3 linked regions of the Neurospora crassa OR74A genome follow. The protein of the gene in region 1 interacts with the protein of each later gene in a biochemical or structural test. Links are inferred from orthologs where the notes say so. Each region holds a gene or a part of one and is shown in the gene's direction. Other genes may lie near its edges.

What was found.
Region 2: of the proteins of NCU00019 (region 1) and stk-50, one has a biochemical effect on the other in vitro, tested with the Schizosaccharomyces pombe proteins (3 studies listed by BioGRID). The link is inferred for Neurospora crassa OR74A from reciprocal best matches to the Schizosaccharomyces pombe genes fkh2 and gad8.
Region 3: of the proteins of NCU00019 (region 1) and cdc28, one has a biochemical effect on the other in vitro, tested with the Schizosaccharomyces pombe proteins (2 studies listed by BioGRID). The link is inferred for Neurospora crassa OR74A from reciprocal best matches to the Schizosaccharomyces pombe genes fkh2 and cdc2.

Annotation. Positions count from the first base shown.
Region 1 is NC_026503.1:2,311,478-2,317,597, reverse strand, and holds NCU00019 (FKH1), read left to right. Parts: upstream 1-1,952; 5' UTR 1,953-2,760; coding exon 2,761-2,877; intron 2,878-2,995; coding exon 2,996-4,006; intron 4,007-4,071; coding exon 4,072-4,904; intron 4,905-4,962; coding exon 4,963-5,068; 3' UTR 5,069-6,012; downstream 6,013-6,120. Other genes in the region: NCU00021 (hypothetical protein), read left to right, coding at 1-63. UniProt on the Schizosaccharomyces pombe protein: Required for promoter sequence element PCB-driven, M-phase-specific transcription. Acts as a transcriptional activator with a role in the regulation of mitosis. Binds, cooperatively with mcm1, the CLB cluster regulatory elements throughout the cell cycle.
Region 2 is NC_026504.1:4,534,844-4,540,963, reverse strand, and holds stk-50 (serine/threonine-protein kinase gad8), read left to right. Parts: upstream 1-2,128; 5' UTR 2,129-2,786; coding exon 2,787-2,808; intron 2,809-2,886; coding exon 2,887-3,024; intron 3,025-3,087; coding exon 3,088-4,646; intron 4,647-4,714; coding exon 4,715-4,930; 3' UTR 4,931-5,348; downstream 5,349-6,120. Other genes in the region: NCU07279 (hypothetical protein), read left to right, coding at 1-435. UniProt on the Schizosaccharomyces pombe protein: Involved in a signaling module for sexual development and cell growth under stressed conditions. Required for G1 arrest under nitrogen starvation and for growth at high temperature and osmolarity.
Region 3 is NC_026506.1:1,087,549-1,093,875, reverse strand, and holds cdc28 (cell division control protein 2), read left to right. Parts: upstream 1-2,335; 5' UTR 2,336-3,052; coding exon 3,053-3,089; intron 3,090-3,173; coding exon 3,174-3,858; intron 3,859-3,940; coding exon 3,941-4,205; 3' UTR 4,206-4,791; downstream 4,792-6,327. Other genes in the region: NCU09779 (oxidoreductase), read right to left, coding at 517-1,316, 1,376-1,652.

The DNA of each region.
Region 1 (6,120 bases):
AAGAAGGGCGGTAAGAAGTCCAAGGGACCCAGCAACCCTAAGAAGCGTGGCGGCAAGGCCTAAACGTGTTGACCCTGTCATGTTTCTGTGATCGATGGTACCATGACTGCCACGTCATTGCTCTTTGACTGAACTGTTACTTGATGTATATGATCATCCATTGTTATCCATCATCATCATCATCGAAGAAAAGTTAGGCACCGGATATGGCTGGCGTTCCTGGGCTTGTGGGGAATTATTTTGGAATTCTCTTGGCTGGTTGGCGTCTTTTTAAAAAGCACTCTGTATATACTTGTATTAACACATGATAAGGGCGGCCACGTGGAAAAGACTCAACAAGTCATGGAGATATCCTTGTATATGGAGAGCAATGTTTCAGAAACGGGAAAATAAAAGGGAAAGGCAGTACGTTAGAAGCATTTATAAAGCGGTCAAGAAGAGGAGGCAACGAAGCATACAGACACACCCCACTTTTTTTTCTTTTTTCTTAGAGTTTCTTATGTTTTTCTTTTCATGATGGGATGAGCGAGCATCTAATTTTGAGTGCGTTCACGGAACCTTTGTATATAGAACGGCTCCGTTGGCTTGAACAAAATGCACCCACCTTTCAACTTCTGCCTCATGGCTCGGGGTTGTGTTAGTTGGGAAGGGCTGGTTGATGAACTTGCTTCAGAGGAAGCGTTCGCAGGATACAGCAAACAGTACACCAAGTGACTAAAGAGGGTCAAACAGCTGGCGGCAGCATGCGCTGGAGATCAGGGGCCAACATGATGATCCAAGACGATACGTGAGAAGGGAAAGTAGAAAAAGGAGCATGGGAAGTTTGTTTACTTGCACAGTGTGTATAATGATACGTCCGCTTCCCCCTTTTTCTGTCGTTCTCGACACTGCTATGGATACTACTTTCGGGTGCAGTGCCGGATTGCCATTTCAGCGGTATAACGAAGACGAGCTCGAAAGCACCTGCCATATAAAATTGATATCTCTTTCTTCTTCAGAGCCCAAGGCGACGAAGGCGATGATTGTGCGAAATGTGTAATTCGGGTTATGGAAATTTCTCCAAATTGTCACCAAAAGCCCCAACCTTGAAATTCCCATCCTAGCAAACCCCGCCAACCCCCTAACAGCAGGGGGCACGCCTAAATCTGATCGAGGCTTGGAGCTGCTGAGGTACCCGCTTCTGCCCCCAGACTGCCCCAGCCGGGCATCTGCCATCCATTCCCGTCTGCTAAATTGACTTCCTAGTAGTGTATGTAGTGTAGTTGCCCATTGGAGTGCTGCGGAAGGAGACAGGACTGGACGGACGAAAGAGTCACGGTGTGGAAAAGACAACTCTCAAACGGTGCTTCTTCGATGCCAAGTGTACAGTACTTAACCCCCCCAAACCCCCACCCCGGCCAAGAGAGAAGAAGATCCATGATTGCTTCATTCGTCACCCCCCTGATTGATGTAAACAAACCTTCGACAAGCGACCGAAGGATGCGTGGTGATTGCTTTGTTTGCGGTGTCTGAAAATGGCATGGGGCTTTGCTTGCATCTTGCATATTTCATCGGACATCGGATATTGGCAATACATTTGATGTCAATCTTGGAGCAACATTTTGGTTTGCTTTTTCAACTTTGTTGTTGCAACATAAATTACAGTTGGGGATGTGGGGGGGGGGGGGGTGCATGCGGGACTTAATCGAAGGAGTGTCCGTTGTTGACCACACTGCACCGAACGGCGTTAGGTTGCGTTGCGTTACTTCAGTTACATACCTACTTACCTTGAAAGGAGTGATGACGAACAGAGTGGACGGAAGCTTGAACACGTGAATGCTCCACCTCTGCCCCGCTAAAATCCCAGTAATCTGACGCAGTCATTGGCCAGTGACTGGCCTGTGCCTGCTTCAATCCGCATTCTGCGCATGCCTTCCAGTTGCGCACGCGAAAAACCTGGGATTTGGAGAAAGCGTCGCCGGGTCAATTAAACAAATCATTCTCACCTTTTTGCTGTGCGTGGTGTCTTCAAATACAAAAAACCTCCTGCCTACTACAGCAGCTATCTACCATACTACCCCGAAACCCAGGGCCGCATTCGACCACTGCAACCTCTCTGCTCTCGAGTTGTACAGTGTCCAATCTTGATTACCTTGAATCCGAGAAAAACTGATTTTCTTTCTTCTTACCCCCCCACGACCGAGGAGCTCACGCATCCAGCCAAAAGTTGAAGCTTCAAAGAAGGAAAGAAAGAAAGTGTCCCAATATCGCCGCGCTGCTATCCATCAGTCTCACAGCGCCCTTTGACCACCCCGAGGCCCCCTTCCATTGTCTTCAACCAACTTGTTGACGTTGTCTGACTGCCCCGGCCTGCAGACATTGGTAATTGGAAGGTCCAAGGCTTGGCGGCCCCTTGCAGCATCTGCCATCAACGCAGGGGACTGGGGAACCGGTTCCAACTAATCGATGGAACTTTGAAGTTCAATAAATTTGTCGCAATTGATCTTCGTCCACACTTCACGACCTTCCTCGCCCGCAACCGCACGCACACGAATCCGGCACCTGCGCCGCCCTCTGATCTGGCAATCTTGATTACGTCTGCCAAAGTCGCCCTCCGCTACACCACCCAAACATTGGTCTCGGTAGATGTCTACCCACTTCCACCACCCGGGCCCCTGACCTCTCTGTTTACTTACGACCTCCTCAACCCCTCCGATCCCCGAGCTCCATCAGACCTCTCTACCTCAAGCGCATGTGCTAGCGCTTTCGCCCACGCACACAATGTCGCCTTCACCACCGAAGCATACCGCGAGCTTCAACACTGCCGACCAGCACAATCTCAGCGATCCAGTTACTGGAGACTCGTCGCCCTCACGGCCCTCGAAGCGTCGCAAGAAGGTAAGGCGCACCCTGCTCCCGCACATCGCTCTCCTTTGCCACGCTTTGTTACTTTTCTTTGACTACCCCATAGGCTGCCTGACCCCCACTAACCACGCACTTTTTGTCTTCGCTGCAGGACGACGATGCGCCGACCGATCTCGCCGACGAGGCCGACTCGTCATTAGTTGCCGACCAGTCAGCTCTAGACATGAACGACGATGACCAGGTGGTGGCACGCGTCATACAGTATCTTGAGATGCCCAAGAATGTTCAGGCTAGCAAGGACCACTCCAACAGCATCCACGAGTCGAGCCAGGGCGTTCAGGCCTTTGCTAAAATCGCGGCCAATGACTGGACCTACTACATCATGAGCCTCAATGTCAATATCGGTCGCTCCTCCGAACCTATACAAGCTACCACCGGCCAGAGCCAGGAGGAAGACCCCAGCAAAGTGGTACACATCGACCTTGGCCCCAACAAGCAGGTTTCTCGCCAGCATGCTCTTATCTACTTCAAGTCCACAGAGGAGCAGTGGTGGTTGCGCGTCAAGGGCCGCAATGCGCTCAAGGTTGATGGTGTCCCGTGGAAAGTGGGCGACGAGGGGCCTCTGAGAAGTGGCGAGGTCATCGAGATTGGCGGTATGGAGATGATGTTTGTTCTGCCTGCCGATATTAGTGCTCTTCAAATCAAAAGGGACTATCTCGAGCGAGCCGGCATCGTTCCCCCAGACTCGCAGGTTTCTCCTCGCCAAGCTCGCCATCCCCTTCCCTCAGCAGGAGAATCGCATGCTTTTCAGGCCGTGTCTCCGACTAGCAAGGCCGCCCCCCGAAACCAAGGACCGCAGAAGGCATTGGCTCCAGCTCCTCCAGACTACAGGAGAGGCGTCACTCCTCCCCTTAACCTTCCCCGACCGCCGATGCACAGGCCGGTTCACGAAGGTCTGGCAGGTCCGCTTGTCATGACCAACAACGAGGTAGATCTTAGTCTCGACGAAAACCAACACATCAAGCCACAGTTCAGCTATGCACAAATGATCACGCAGGCGATCGTGAACACGGAAGACCAGAAGCTCAATCTCTCCGGCATCTATCAGTTCATCATGAACCGCTACTCATACTATAGGCATCAACCCGCTGGTGGCTGGCAGGTATGTTTCTCCAGCGGTTGCTGTACCCTCGCGTACTTGGATAGCTGACATATATGTTACTCCAGAACTCGATTCGACACAATCTTTCGTTGAACAAGTCATTCGAGAAGGTCGCAAGGTCGACAGACGAGCCTGGCAAAGGCATGAAGTGGCAGATTGTTGCCGACGCCCGTGAAGATATGATACGCAATGCGTACCGAGGCGGTCGTGGTGGACATAGAGGCACCTCTAACCCAGCTTCTCCTAGCGGGCTGAATTACATCACGCAGGGTCCGAAGGACATGGCCGCTAAGGAGCCTGCGTCGTCTCGTAAGCGGAAGATTTCGCCTTCTGACTCGCCACAGCCACAACCGCACCCAACACTGCGCGACTCGCAATCAACGCCTGTGCGCGCCGCCCAGCGCAAACCTCTCCCTGACAAAGCAGAGGATGGCACGGAGGCTAGCCCGCTGTCGACGATCCGGAAGCCTGCGACAATGAGTACATTGGGGATAGTGGAGGATACGCCTGCATCGCCGACGTTGGGACCGTCGTACCTGCAGGAAGACGGTGCGTCTCTCGTTACGCCGGCTCCAAACCGAGTTAATCCCCGGCTTGTACCCCCCAGCACGGCCCAACGGCCTAGTCAACACATGCCGACTAGCTCACCCGCCCCGTTCTGGAGATATGCCGATATTTCAAGTACGCCGCTAAAGCCTGCTCAGTACGACGCCAGCCCCTCCAAAACACACGGGAACCTGCCATCGCAGAGCAGCAGCCCCCCACCACCGGCGCGGAGTAAGTCGCCTGCCGGGAGTGCAAGTCCGTCGAGAACAACCAGCCGGGGCGCCACGGTCGGCGTAGAAGAATCCCCGAGCCCTGCCGAGGAAGAGGAGGACCGGGCTTTCGATCTTACAAAGTAAGTGCAACTCTCGACTCTAGTGGTTCGCCATGTATACTAAATCTTTACGTTTTAGGGGATTTCAAAGCATCGGTAGTTATCATGCTCCTGTCAGTCGTGGCAAGGAGGTTCAGCCGGCTGGAAATGGCGATGTGCCCTCTATGGCGCCACTGAGCTCTTAAAAGGGCATGGAGTCGAGAGGGCAACTACAATACCGATGTCGCGATATATACAAGAACGCGGCTAGGGCCATTTACGCATCATTTGAGTGGGCTTCTTCTATTCACACATTTTGCATCATCATCCTTCTCTTCAATTCTTTCTTGTCGTTTGCTTTATGAATTTATCATCATTAATTCAAGTTTTTTTTTTCCTTTCCCCCCCCCAAGGCTATTCGTTACGTGGTATTAATTCCTTAGTTCGTGTCTTGTGTGATACCACAAGGGATGGTTGGACTGGATCATCTCAATTTCCAGGAAAGCCTAATAGCTTCCTGCTTTCGGGGCAAATGATTCTCTTTTTTTGTCATTCTTGTTCTGCTTCTTACGTCTAAGTTGTATTATTTCACTGGTTCTGAATGCGGGCAATGGTTTGAGTGCAGCAGGAACAAAACACAAATGGGAGTAAAGGAGGACTGGATGGCCGAAAGTTGGGAAACATCGAGTCACAATGTTGCATTTCACATCTTTTCCATCAAATTGGGTTGGGTTGGGTCAGGTCACGTCAGTTCAAGATCGTTCTGCACTGGGGTCATTATCTTTTTTTTCGGCATCGCTGCTAGCTACCCAACGGTGTTTCTGTCGGCGGTCTAGTTGGTTTTCATATCGATATCCCAAAATGCGTTCTATTTTGTTCTTCGTTTGTGTCCAGGGTCTTTGTGTTTCCTGCGTCCCGGTTGTTCTTTTCCAATACTGTGAATGCGGGTGCATATCAGGGAGGCCAGGCAGATGTGTTTGGACAGATCAGAAACCAAGAGGATGGATGTATAGACACACATATGGACAGCCCGGGGCGCTTGGTTGAGAAATTCAAGGATGTTATGATGGAAGAAAGTAGGACTGGGAGTGTCAGAACTCATAGTGACTCGCATCGCACACAGGAGTTTTTTAATCCGCGAAGGATTTCCATCAAAACCGCGCAGAGCCGTAGCATTTACTAGCCAGTAGCTGGTCGATATCAATCAGATGACTACCTAATATAAGATACTCAGCATGTATGAGTTTTTACCCTCTTG
Region 2 (6,120 bases), on another chromosome or scaffold:
CGAATCATCTTGCTCTATATCGAACCCCTCTTCGCAATCAACGGCGCTTTCATGGTCTTCTTTCAGCCAGCGAAATACGCGGCCATGATGACGCGCGCATCTGTGCCCTACGATGCCCCCTCGCAATATCTCTACACGCAGATTGGGAGTGGATGGCTGTACTTTGCCTTCATCCAAGCCGTCATCCTTCGGCTGTATGATGATCTGCGTCTATGGCAGCTGCTCTGTGTCGGCATGCTCCTCAGTGATGCTGGGTATAGCTGGTCCGTGATACAAGGGGTAGGCGGATGGAGTCAGTGGATCAAAGTTGGAGAATGGGAAACCTCAGACTGGACCTTATTTTGGGCAACTGTGCCTTTGGCAGTGATCAGGGTTTTGGTTTTGCTTCAGAGTACGGCCGGAACGAGGAAGGGTGAAGTGAAGATCGGTAAATAAAGGGGGTGAAGCATTTTGCTGGCAATCAAAGATGACAAATGACTTGAGATGGAAACTCAACGGCAGTATATGGCGAACGAACAGTTGCGAAGGACGAGTGTTTTTGATGTACGGGTAGAACACACCGACTTCGTGACCAACCCATCATCGGGATTTGGTTTTCCCAAGTACTGCAATGTCTTTCAGAACTCGAGGGTTTGGAGAATTGGAGGAGTGGAAAGCAATGTCAGCTTGAATTGCCATCCTCAATCGAGAACCGTTATTTTTGGGTGCTCCAGGCTGAAAAAGAGATAGAAATCGAATCAATCCTCGGCATCGATGGCCGAGCAACAACGACCCTAGAAGCCTAGTCAAGTAGCCGGGTCCTCCTGGCTGATGACCACGTGACAGATCCTAGCTATCATGGAGAGGTCGAGGAACAACCTGACAATTCCCTGAACTTCCCCTGTTGTTTTGGTAGGGGGATCTTTCTTCGTTATTTTTTGCCCCTCTGCCCCTCTTTGGTGGCTCTCCGCAGTCCGCATATGAAACCGATCAAGAGCTGGCAAGAGATGTCTCAGGTTTTGGTTAGACGCACCCTGGCACCGCCAATGTCGTAGCCACCAAGTCTTGTTTTATCTTGCCCATCATTATCAATCACGTCCTCTTTGGATATGGAAAGTCTCCGAGATCAGTTGTAGCAGGATAGCTCTGGCTTGCTATAACAAGGTGAAACGTCGACTTGGTGTCGATCGACCAGACGTTCCAGGTTGGCCCCCCAGGGCGTGTCCAGGGACTCGGCCTCGTGGGTCTGACTTGTACCCTTGCTACAGCGTGTGTCTGCGTGTATGTAGATGAAGCGGAGATCCTGTCGACAGATTTATACTGCAAGTTCGTCGGGCAATCTTGCGGGTGTCGTAAACGGTGATTGCGGCCGATGAGCCCAAGAAAATTGGAACCCAAAATTAGCAACGTGGTGACAATCAAAGTGCTGTGGAAGAGAGGTTGTCCAGTTTTTAGTGGCATTTTGTCGCCGCTTGTTCCATCAGCCTCAAACACGACCAGAAAGACGCATGGCTGGCATGGCTCTGAAGCACAGAACCCGTCAGGTTTGTTCCCTGGGCATCGGGCCGCATCTGACAAGTCGGGCTGTTAGCGCATATTGGATTTTGGAGGTCTCTCCATTCCCTCATCTTGTCGGCTTGTTGTGATCGTCTCAATGGCAGAGTGTCTGTGACGGTGATTCGATCTTGGGAGAGATTTGACTGACTTGCGAAACTGCGGACAGCCAAGCAGAAACTGGACCCCGGCGGGCAATTAGTACCCCACTTTCCACTTGTCAGCAGCACCCGACTTCCCGTCTTTTCCATCCACCAGGGCAGTGCTTATGTTCGGTTTTGTTAGCGATAGCCCCCCCCCCAGCTGACCCCCTGGCCTAACAGGCCTGCCGCGAATCAATGGGTCCAAAAAGGAGAGAGAGCGGGGCCCGCGGCAGGGCAAGACAGGCCCAGCGACCTGACCACCTGCAGGAGACGGGACCAGATTATCTCCTCCACCTCTGGGTCCCGCATCAGCCACTAACAAGGATCCCGCCGGCTGAACACACCAGGCATTCCATTTCCATCCTGCTGCGCTCCCGCCGCTGTCAACCGCGTCCAGGGGCACCACGCCCACACAGCCCACCTCACCACCCACTGCACCACCTGGCCCCTACCTGGACAGCAGCAGCACGCACTCCCGCCCGCCAGGCGAACACCCCCCCGACTCCCGCCCGACACCTTGGGATTCTATCGATCCTCCCGTCATCACCGCAGTGGCATCTCGCTGTCCGCCTTCCGCTTTGTGTCGAGGTTCCCTCCGTCCCGTCGTCTTGTTCGTTGTACCTCTACAACACAACCCCCCTCTACCTAGACCCGACTTACTTGCAACATCCATCCATCCAACTCTAAACACGAGTCTTGTTCACACCACCTTGCTGCTGCGCCAAACAGTAGTTGCCTCCTAGTCTGTCGCCCTCGGTCGATTAGAGTCTTGGATTTCCGGACAGCCAGGCCTCCTTTTCTCCTGGCGCCTTCTCGCCCTTACAGTCCACTTCTTCTGTTGACACCGACCCCCTCGGAGGTATCGACACCGACACCAACCTCGACGCCGACGCCGACATCGAAGCCGCCCGCTGTCACGTCACCCAGCCTACCTGTCATACCTACTACTCTCTTCCTAGCCTCGTCGCTTCGTATTTCGTCGCTTTTATCCTAGATCTTCTCCTATCCGTCAAACCTCCTATTGGCGTCCAACCTCAGTCCTTTCGTATCCTACGGCTGGTCCACCCTACCTACGTCCATTCCCCTTTTAGGTTTCTGCCAGACAGCAAAATGTCGTGGAAACTCACAAAGAGTATGTCGGCGAACCCGCGCCTTTTCCCTTTCCCTTTCCCCACGGCAGAACACCATATCTGACATGTTGGCACACCAGAGCTGAAGGAGACCCATTTGGGTCCTCTTTCAAGCCCCTTCTCCCGCTCGCCCTCTACCTCCACCATCACAGATAAGGAAGACAAGAGCCAAGCGGGCAGCTCGGGAGCAGCCACCCCTTCGAACGAGAACACCATTGGTAGGCGCTCAGCCCGTCTTGTTCACTCGGCCATCACAAGATTAACCTCTTTTCCTTTCACAGCCGCCTCGGAAGCCCTTACGCAAGCTCCCATCGTCAAGCCTCCTAAGCCCGGTATCCTCGTCGTCACCCTCCACGAGGGTTCCGGCTTCTCGCTACCCGAACAGTATCGCAATGTCTTTTCCTCAAACCATGGCGGTAACTCGATGTCGACGGGAAGTGCCCTTAACGTTGCAGGCTCCATTCGCACCAACAACTCGTCACGAACAGCCAACTTCCTGAGCGGTTCTTCGCGCCCACAGAGCTCGGGCGGCTTTGGCGCCATTCCTACAAATCACGGCCGTATCTCCACAAAGTATATGCCCTATGCCCTCATAGATTTTGACAAGGTTCAAGTTTTTGTCAACTCGGTCGAAGGCAACCCCGAAAACCCCCTCTGGGCCGGCTCCAACACTCAGTACAAGTTCGATGTGTCTCGAGTTACGGAGCTTGCCGTACATCTTTACATCAGGAACCCCAACGCGGCGCCTGGCTCCGGCCGCAGCCAAGACATCTTCCTTGGTGTTGTCCGTATTAACCCCAGATTCGAGGAGAAGCAGCAGTTCGTCGATGACCCCAAGGCCAGCAAGAAGGACCGGGAAAAGGCCGCCGCCGACTTTGCCAACAAGGAGCGCGCCCTCGGACACAGCGGTGTGGAGTGGGTCGACGTTCAGTATGGTACCGGAAAGCTCAAGATCGGCGTCGAGTATGTGGAGAACCGCGCCGGTAAGCTCAAGATTGAGGATTTCGAGCTCCTCAAGGTTGTCGGCAAGGGCTCGTTTGGTAAGGTCATGCAGGTGCGCAAGAAGGACACGAACCGTATTTACGCTCTCAAGACGATTCGCAAGGCGCACATCATCTCGCGTTCCGAAGTCGCCCACACGCTCGCTGAGCGATCCGTTCTGGCCCAGATCAACAACCCGTTTATCGTGCCGCTCAAGTTCACCTTCCAGAGTCCCGAGAAGCTATACTTTGTCCTCGCCTTTGTCAATGGTGGTGAGCTGTTCCATCATTTGCAGAAAGAGCAGCGATTCGACGTCAACCGCAGTCGTTTCTACACGGCCGAACTGCTGTGTGCGCTCGAATGCCTTCACGGTTTCAACGTCATTTACCGTGATCTCAAGCCGGAAAACATTCTTCTCGACTACCAAGGTCACATCGCTCTCTGCGATTTCGGTCTCTGCAAGCTGGACATGAAGGATGAGGACCGCACCAACACATTTTGCGGCACCCCTGAGTATTTGGCGCCCGAATTGCTGATGGGTAATGGTTACAACAAGACTGTCGATTGGTGGACATTGGGTGTGCTTTTGTACGAGATGTTGACGGGTCTCCCGCCTTTCTACGATGAGAACACCAACGAGATGTACCGCAAGATCCTCAGCGAACCGCTGCACTTCCCCGGACCCGAGGTTGTACCCCCAGCTGCCAAGGACCTCTTGACCAAGCTGCTCAACCGCGACCCGCAACAACGTCTCGGTGCCAACGGGGCGGCCGAGATCAAGGCGCACCCCTTCTTCCACGCCATAGATTGGCGCAAGTTGTTGCAGCGCAAGTACGAGCCTGCGTTCAAGCCCAATGTGGTAAGTATCAAGAGCGCTGCCTACTCACCGGTTGAACAAGCTCAATGTGCTAACTACGGTGACTATAGGTTGACGCGCTCGACACCGCCAACTTCGACCCTGAGTTCACATCGGAACTTCCTCAGGATTCTTACGTGGAAGGACCGATTCTGTCAGAGACGATGCAGAACCAGTTCACGGGCTTCAGTTACAACCGTCCTATTGCTGGTCTCGGGGATGCGGGTGGCAGTGTTAAGGACCCATCATTCGCGAGCAGTCTTCAAGACAACAGCAGCAGGAGATAGACAAAGTAAAAGAGAGGTAGAAACTTTGGCTTGGGCAACGGGAATATAGCAAATGCAGCATAGAGGCAGGTTCAGTTAAGCGGTTGTGTCGCGGCTGTGATTGACCCATTGGTGGGTAAGACTGAGCGTAGAGGTGACAGCCAAGTGCTCAGTCGCTGGACAATGGGCTTTCAAAGTCTTTTTTTCTTTATCTTGTGTTTAGTCTATCCATATTTGTGACTTGAGCTACCTAGGTACATTTTCACATAGGAGTTGGGCAGTGATTTGTTTCATTGTTAAACTTATAAGCAATGTCAAGTATTTTTTTTTTTACAAAACACGGGGCACAGCCCGACGTTTGCTTGGAAACCAAACTCAAGATGAGGTGGAAAAGGGTTAGGCAGCCGAGCAACCCGGAATGTCACATAAATGTAGTCGTGCAAGGTCCTTAAGCCCAAAGCTGCTCAGGTCTTATGATCAATCAGAGGCTGTAGGTATGGATCTTTCTTGCTTTGTTTCAGAGGAACTTTTGGCAGCATTTGCAAGCAGATGGATCAGGGGAGAAAACGGATTAGTAACGAACGGCTCTTGGGAACGGTATAGAAGCATGGCCATTCTGAGCTCCCGTGAATCCCGGCGATCAACGGGGAGCGAGTGACCTCGGGGCTACCAGACTGGAAGATGTGATGAACTGCGAAAAAGTTACCGCCATTTCCAACCCCTGTTCACTTCTGGTCTCTCTGTCTCACATCATATGCGACCAAGTTTCACCGATTGTGTCCCGCTCAAGACCAAAGACACTGGGACTGGTATATCAGAACATCACTTCATATACATAGTGCTCACAAATAGCGAAAGCGGACACTATTGATGGTAGTTGTTGATTGAAGTTGGCGATCATGTTGTTACATACCTCTATGTAAGGTAAGTATCGGACCGGCTAACATTGCCGTACGTTAGCCAGGCACTCGGATGTACAGTGCATGTACCAAGCTATACATTCAGGTTACGCAATTGCCCCGCATTTGCACCGCGAGCTCACCTTATCAACCCCACCATGCCCACCGTCGTCTCCCCATCAGCAGCTCTCCGGCTCAAGGAAGCGAAGCAGGCTTGCATGATACAAGTATATTACTAGACGAACCCATCCATCATCAGGTGCTTTTCCTCCTTTCTTCCCATATTGCTCTTCGTCCTCCCTCCCTTCATCC
Region 3 (6,327 bases), on another chromosome or scaffold:
CCCTATCGTATCACTTGATAAACGGTGTTGCTGTCTAAAATGAGTTCGTCATGAATATCAAGGATGATGATCCAATCCATCGCCCAAGCCCTTATGTCCGCTGAGTACGCTTTGCGTCCGCCGCTTCATCGAGCATGTTGTGATTCAGCTCGTTTTTACCTCATAGCAAAACCAGAATCAACCTTGATAATGGGGAAATCCCCAGATCTCTGCCGCGTGACATGTTGATATGTTTGTGATGATGAAAGATTACATAAGTGGACAAATGTGATAAGCGAGCACACACAACCTCTAGTCATGGACGCTTGTCATTTCATGGTTTCAAGGTATGGGCAGTAAACTTGGTCTCAGGAAAACTCTAATGGCGAGTGGTAAAAGGGGAAACAAAGTGTCCTGGAAAACGAGACATAGACAGTTCAAAAGTGGGATGGTGACGGCCATGGCTTTATGACGGCCTTTGTCCACTTGGCATTCTGTTGACTGAACATGTGGTTGAAGATAGTGGCGTTCTTCGGCTCAGTCCCTCATCTGCCTAACATTAATATTGATGCGCTTGTTCTTCATCCAGCCCCTCCAAGCCTCATACTTTCCATCTTCGGCGGGCCAATCCTCCAGCCACTCGGGACAGGTGCCCTTGAAGATTTTGGGTACACCATGCCAGGCAAACCTGGACTCCTTAGTCATGTAAATGATATCGCCAGACCGTAGCCTTAGCAGCAAGAACTTCTTGTCGCTCTTGCCACTTTCATTTTCTGCGGATCCCTTTTGCTTTTCGTCTTCCGACACCTTGCCCCAGTCCTCGGGACAAATCATGAAGAGCGAATCACAGCCTATACTCAAGCTGACCAGGCCTTTGTCGGTCTCTTCTGACACATCGCGGTGCATCATCATGGTATCGCCGGGGGTGTAGAAATTGACAATGGCCGCTTGGGCCTGAGTCTCGGGAAACAGGGTCTCCAAAAGGCCGGCAATGTCTTTGGGAAACTCGGGGGGCAGCTCGCCCGGGTAAACGCGATTCGTCCAGTCATACTGTCCACCTAGGGTGACCCAGTGTAGCTTGCGGTTGAAGACTTGTTGAAAAGTGAGAGGCTTGTGTACAGAAGGGTCCTTTGGCTCAAAACACGTCTCGGAATCTGGAGGGTAGGAGAAGAAGGATTCCTGAAGGCCTGTTTCGGGATCCACGGGCGGGTAGGGGAGCTTGAAATGGAGATGCATGTTGGTCTGGTGATGGGGTTGGTTGAGATCGCGGTGAATGATGTTGCGCAGTAGCGTCTTTTGGACCTCGGGGGGAATGAGGTTTGGGAGAATCAAGAGACCTTTTGGGGTTGGTCAGCAATGATTCGTGAGGAAGAGGGGTCCAGGATCTTGAGTTCACCAGGCAAGAGAGGATGGTAATAGATGGGGGCGTCCTTGTCTGTGCGGAACTCTGGTGAGTCTTCGGGGCAGATATAGCTGAAGGACCTGTTCAAAGTCTCGGTAGGAATGGAGCCAGCGAGCACAAACTCGGGGGCTTTTTCGGGACTGCGCAAGTCATCGATCTCGGGGCTGTTCATGACGATTTTCTGGTCGACTTTGGCGAACGACTTCCACTTGAGCCGCAGCTCATCCGACGGCTGCTCGTGCGCATCCAGGTCATGGTGTCCACCCATCATCTTGAAAGTCGGGTAGTTCTTTTGAGCGAGATATCCAAAAAGAGAACAGAAAAGTGACCGAAGAAATGGATATGAGTATACAAGTTGACTCCTTCCGAGTCCTCGTGTGACGTTGCGGATTTGGAGTAGGGAAGTATCGTGAGATGAAATTGTGGGGACTCGAGTGAAGCTTCAGACGGGACGGATGGTCGAGATGGATTGATGTGTGGGCGTCGAGCTGAGGCTGGGCTGGGCGTCTGAATGGCTGGAGCTTCTGAATGGCGCCACAAGTCAGGGGTAGTCAACAGTTAGAGATCGTGGCTACCTAGAAGGTACCTACGTATTCTGCCCCATCTTGGTGGGCTGTCGGGTACAGTCAATGCTCCAAGTAGTAGTACTTACTAGAACTAGGTAGAGGTGGTACATATGTACCTAGATTGCTTGAAAGTTTACCTACCTACCTTGAACTCGGAGTACCTACCGACGAGGAAAGCGGGCATTTTTTGGACGCGTTCATTCCTCCCTTGCAGTCCGTCCCTCCAGTGAGTGGTTTCCATGGTGCCGTCGCGGTCCGCGCTTTTTGTGTTGACACGGATTTCCGTTGCAAGCGCCAAGTCTAAGACGTAATCGTCCCGTCTCCAACCACCTGCACTCGGATGCCCGTCTGGAATAAAACCTACCTACTGCACTACAGTACAGCGGACCACCCCCCTGGACTGCCCTCTAAATCCGACACTCGAACGACAACCACAACTTCACAACCTCAACTTCCACTTGCACGTCCACCGCCTCTCCTTCCTTGGATTTCTGTCCCTTCACCATCACGGTCCCTTAGTATCAAGAAGTTGCAGGAACAACGGACGACAATTACATCGCTCGCTGCATCATATTGCCTTTTCATCAGCGGCCTTTCGCATTCAGCCCTCCGCCCAGGACGACCCGTCGACCATTCACGGCACCATCATCACCACCAAAAGTCAACACCAAAACAAAGTATTTACGGTAGCTAGTACTGTAGCCTTTTGACGGCAACGACGGACGATTCCACCTTTTTTCGTTTTTGTTTACCAATCCGCCACTGCGCTCCCTTTGGACACCACCTATCCTTGGCTGGACCTTGACTCTCCAAGGATCAATCAATCTCAAGAAGGCGACCCTTCGACGGCCGTCACTTTCTCCATCCGCCGCCGCCGCCGCCGCCGCCCCACGCTTCGTTCTGGGCTTTTCCATCAATCACTGTGCTTCAGCGCGCTAGGTACAACATCGTTCGTCGTAATCGTCCCCCACCACGACGACCACGAACACCAGGCACCAACCCCAACTAGTAGTTCTACGACTCCGGGCAAAGTCAATTCTTTCCCTCCAGGGACTTTCAAACCACCCATCTCAGTATAGCGGCCTGGACGGGTAACAGAGCAACCATGGAGAACTATCAGAAGCTGGAAAAGATTGGCGAGGGTACAACACCCCCTTCTTCTTCGACCCCTCCACCTTGGCTCTCTTCCTTCCATGTCCCGTACTGACATTCCACCTTCCGCATAGGAACGTATGGTGTCGTCTACAAGGCCCGCGACTTGGCTAACAGCGGGCGCATTGTCGCCCTCAAGAAGATCCGCCTCGAAGCCGAAGATGAGGGCGTCCCCTCTACCGCCATCCGTGAGATCTCGCTGCTCAAGGAGATGCGCGACCCCAACATTGTGCGTCTCCTCAACATTGTCCACGCCGACGGCGGTCAAGGCCATAAGCTGTATCTTGTCTTCGAATTCCTCGATCTTGATCTGAAGAAGTACATGGAGGCCCTTCCTGTCAGCGACGGTGGTAGGGGCAAGGCCCTCCCCGAAGGAACGGGCGCCGGACTGCACAATTTGGGACTGGGCGAGGATATCATCAAGAAGTTCATGAGCCAGCTTTGCGAGGGCGTCCGATACTGCCACAGCCACCGTGTCCTACACCGCGATCTCAAGCCCCAGAACCTGCTCATCGACCGCGACGGCAACTTGAAGCTAGCAGATTTCGGTCTCGCCCGCGCCTTTGGTGTTCCACTCCGTACTTATACCCACGAGGTCGTCACATTGTGGTACCGTGCGCCCGAAATCCTGCTGGGTGGTCGTCAGTACTCGACCGGTGTCGATATGTGGTCCGTTGGTTGCATCTTTGCCGAAATGTGCACACGCAAGCCCTTGTTCCCTGGTGATTCGGAAATTGACGAGATCTTCAAGATCTTCCGGTACGTTTATGCAGTTACCTTTTCTTGGCACCTTTCTGCTTCTCCCCTAGTCCGCTATACTGACCTCTTTTCCTCCAAACAGTCTGCTTGGAACCCCTACTGAGGACATCTGGCCCGGCGTCACCTCCTATCCCGACTTCAAGGCATCTTTCCCCAAGTGGGTACGCGACTACAACGTACCACTTTGCCAAAACCTCGACGATGTCGGTCTTGAGCTACTTGAATCCATGCTTGTCTACGACCCTGCTGGCCGAATCTCTGCCAAGGCAGCGTGCAATCACCCTTACTTTGAAGACTACAACCCCAAGCCAAAGAGCAAATACCGCGACAGCAGCAGATACGCCTAGGGACGTTCGCCAAGGTCGAAGCAGGAGCGTTAGGCAATAGCAGATCGACTATCCAAGTTTTGCAGCCGGCTGCTTAGGTTCGGTTGGATCTCGGTGACTTCAAAGTGGGCAGTTCGTGGCAAGGGTACAGTCTTTGTGATTCTACCAGTAGCGAGTGAGGTCGACACACCGAAACGGTGACAGAAACAAACTGTCATTATCACACCTGAAGCATATCATAGCATCCCACTTTGCTTTCAGGATACTCGGAAACATGATATTCGACACATCAAATTCCCCATACCTACATTTTGTTGTATGTAGGGTTGTGTTTTTAGGGAACAGCGTTCAAAGGGGTCATGGGTAAAGGAAGTACATTGGAATGGAGTTCTGTATTACACGATTCGGTGTTATCTGGAAGAGCAAATGGCATTCAAGGGATGGGGCTTTCTGTTAGCCCTGGTGCATATTAGGGAGTTGTGGTGTGAAGTGTACTGTACACAGGCAGGGAAAAGGCGCAAGACATTGTTCCAATAAATCTCGCATGTACATACTTTCCCCTGTCCAAACACAGGTCCTTCGTTTGGAGATGCGAAGTGATGTCGGCTGTTCCTTCATCTTTGATGTGCTCCATTTCTTTCTCCCTGCTCGGATTTATGTTGCCATTGATCGATTTCTCATGTTGCCTTCTTGGCTGTCTTTCTTTCCGACAAGCGCTCACACCACCGCATTACATGTCCCCCAACATTGTAGGCATTCGCTTTTATCAGACTGAGCAAATGGTACCTCAGCACATGGGACTGCAGACATCGTCATGCTGACAGCGCTAATGAAGAATGCTTTCAGAAAAGCCTAGCTCACTCAAGCCTGTACCAAGCGGTTGGCTCCCAACATTTCAGCTATCAAAAGAGCATCACGTCAGTGGATTGGGAACCACTCAACAAGACAGATCAGGCGTCATAGGGAGGCTATATACCTGCAATACACTCACTGAAGCTCTTCCTAGTCCCAGTATCTCAACCGTGGTGTTGCGTGGTGTGGCGTCCAGACACTCCATCGGGGCCGTACCTTTTTTTTGCCTGTTTAACGGTCTGTATTTTCAACACAAACCGGTAACAGGAGCTTTATCTCGCCAATCCGGACCGACATCTGCTATCGTACCTTAAAAGTACTTACATATTTGGCTTGGAGAAGGCTGACAGCGGAGGACGGATTCGTTCGACGATATCGTGCATGATCAACGAAAGGTAGTAGGCAATTGGTCAATTGGGAAGTAACTGAATAATACACAGGACTGTGTATTTCAGTGTGCCTTGGTACGACACCACGCTCATTATCCCTCGAAAATAGTGGAAAGACGTTCGGGCTCCCAGCGGATGTGGTGGTTCACCGTAAGGCTGGTGTGGTGTGTGTGAATATGGGCAGTGAGTGAGTGGTATGAGTGGTTATTAGCGAAGCGGGGTGTTTCAGTTCTAACGATTTGGTTCAAATTCAGAAAATAACAGATTATATCACCCACAAGCAAGAAGAGTCTGTCTTTCCCACACTCAATCGCCTGTGCAGTCTTGGCAAGAGGTGTGTGTGCGTGCACACACACACACACACCGCACTTCTGTATTGTACAACTTCGTCAAAATTCATCATTTCACAACAATTTCTACATCAATTTGAAGCTATTTCAACGTATAAAGTAATTACAATACTAGTAATCAATCAAATCCATCGCAACAATGCCTCCCAAAACAATCCTCAATTTAAAACCCGCCAGCGTAAAGCGATTCCGTATTCGAAGTAGCGCGCTAGTAATCTACTTCAATAAGGATTAAGATTAGGAAGATCCTAACTTAATAATTCTATAATACGCCTTATTCCGCTCTAGAAAGAAGAGCTGTAAAGCTGAGTAGTCTACTAAAATTATCCCTAAAACTATTCTACTTAAAAAGAAGATTATTTTTATTAAAATTATTATTAAAAAGACTACTATTAAGAAGGGGAAGGCTACCGCGCTAAAATTAATCCTAATCCTAATCTTAGAACTACCATTGTCCCTTCTTAAACTTATAATACTTATTAAGATTTCTAGTAGTAAAGAGGACTCTAATAATAATAATGAGGTTGAATAATAGCTCCCCGTCCGCTTTAT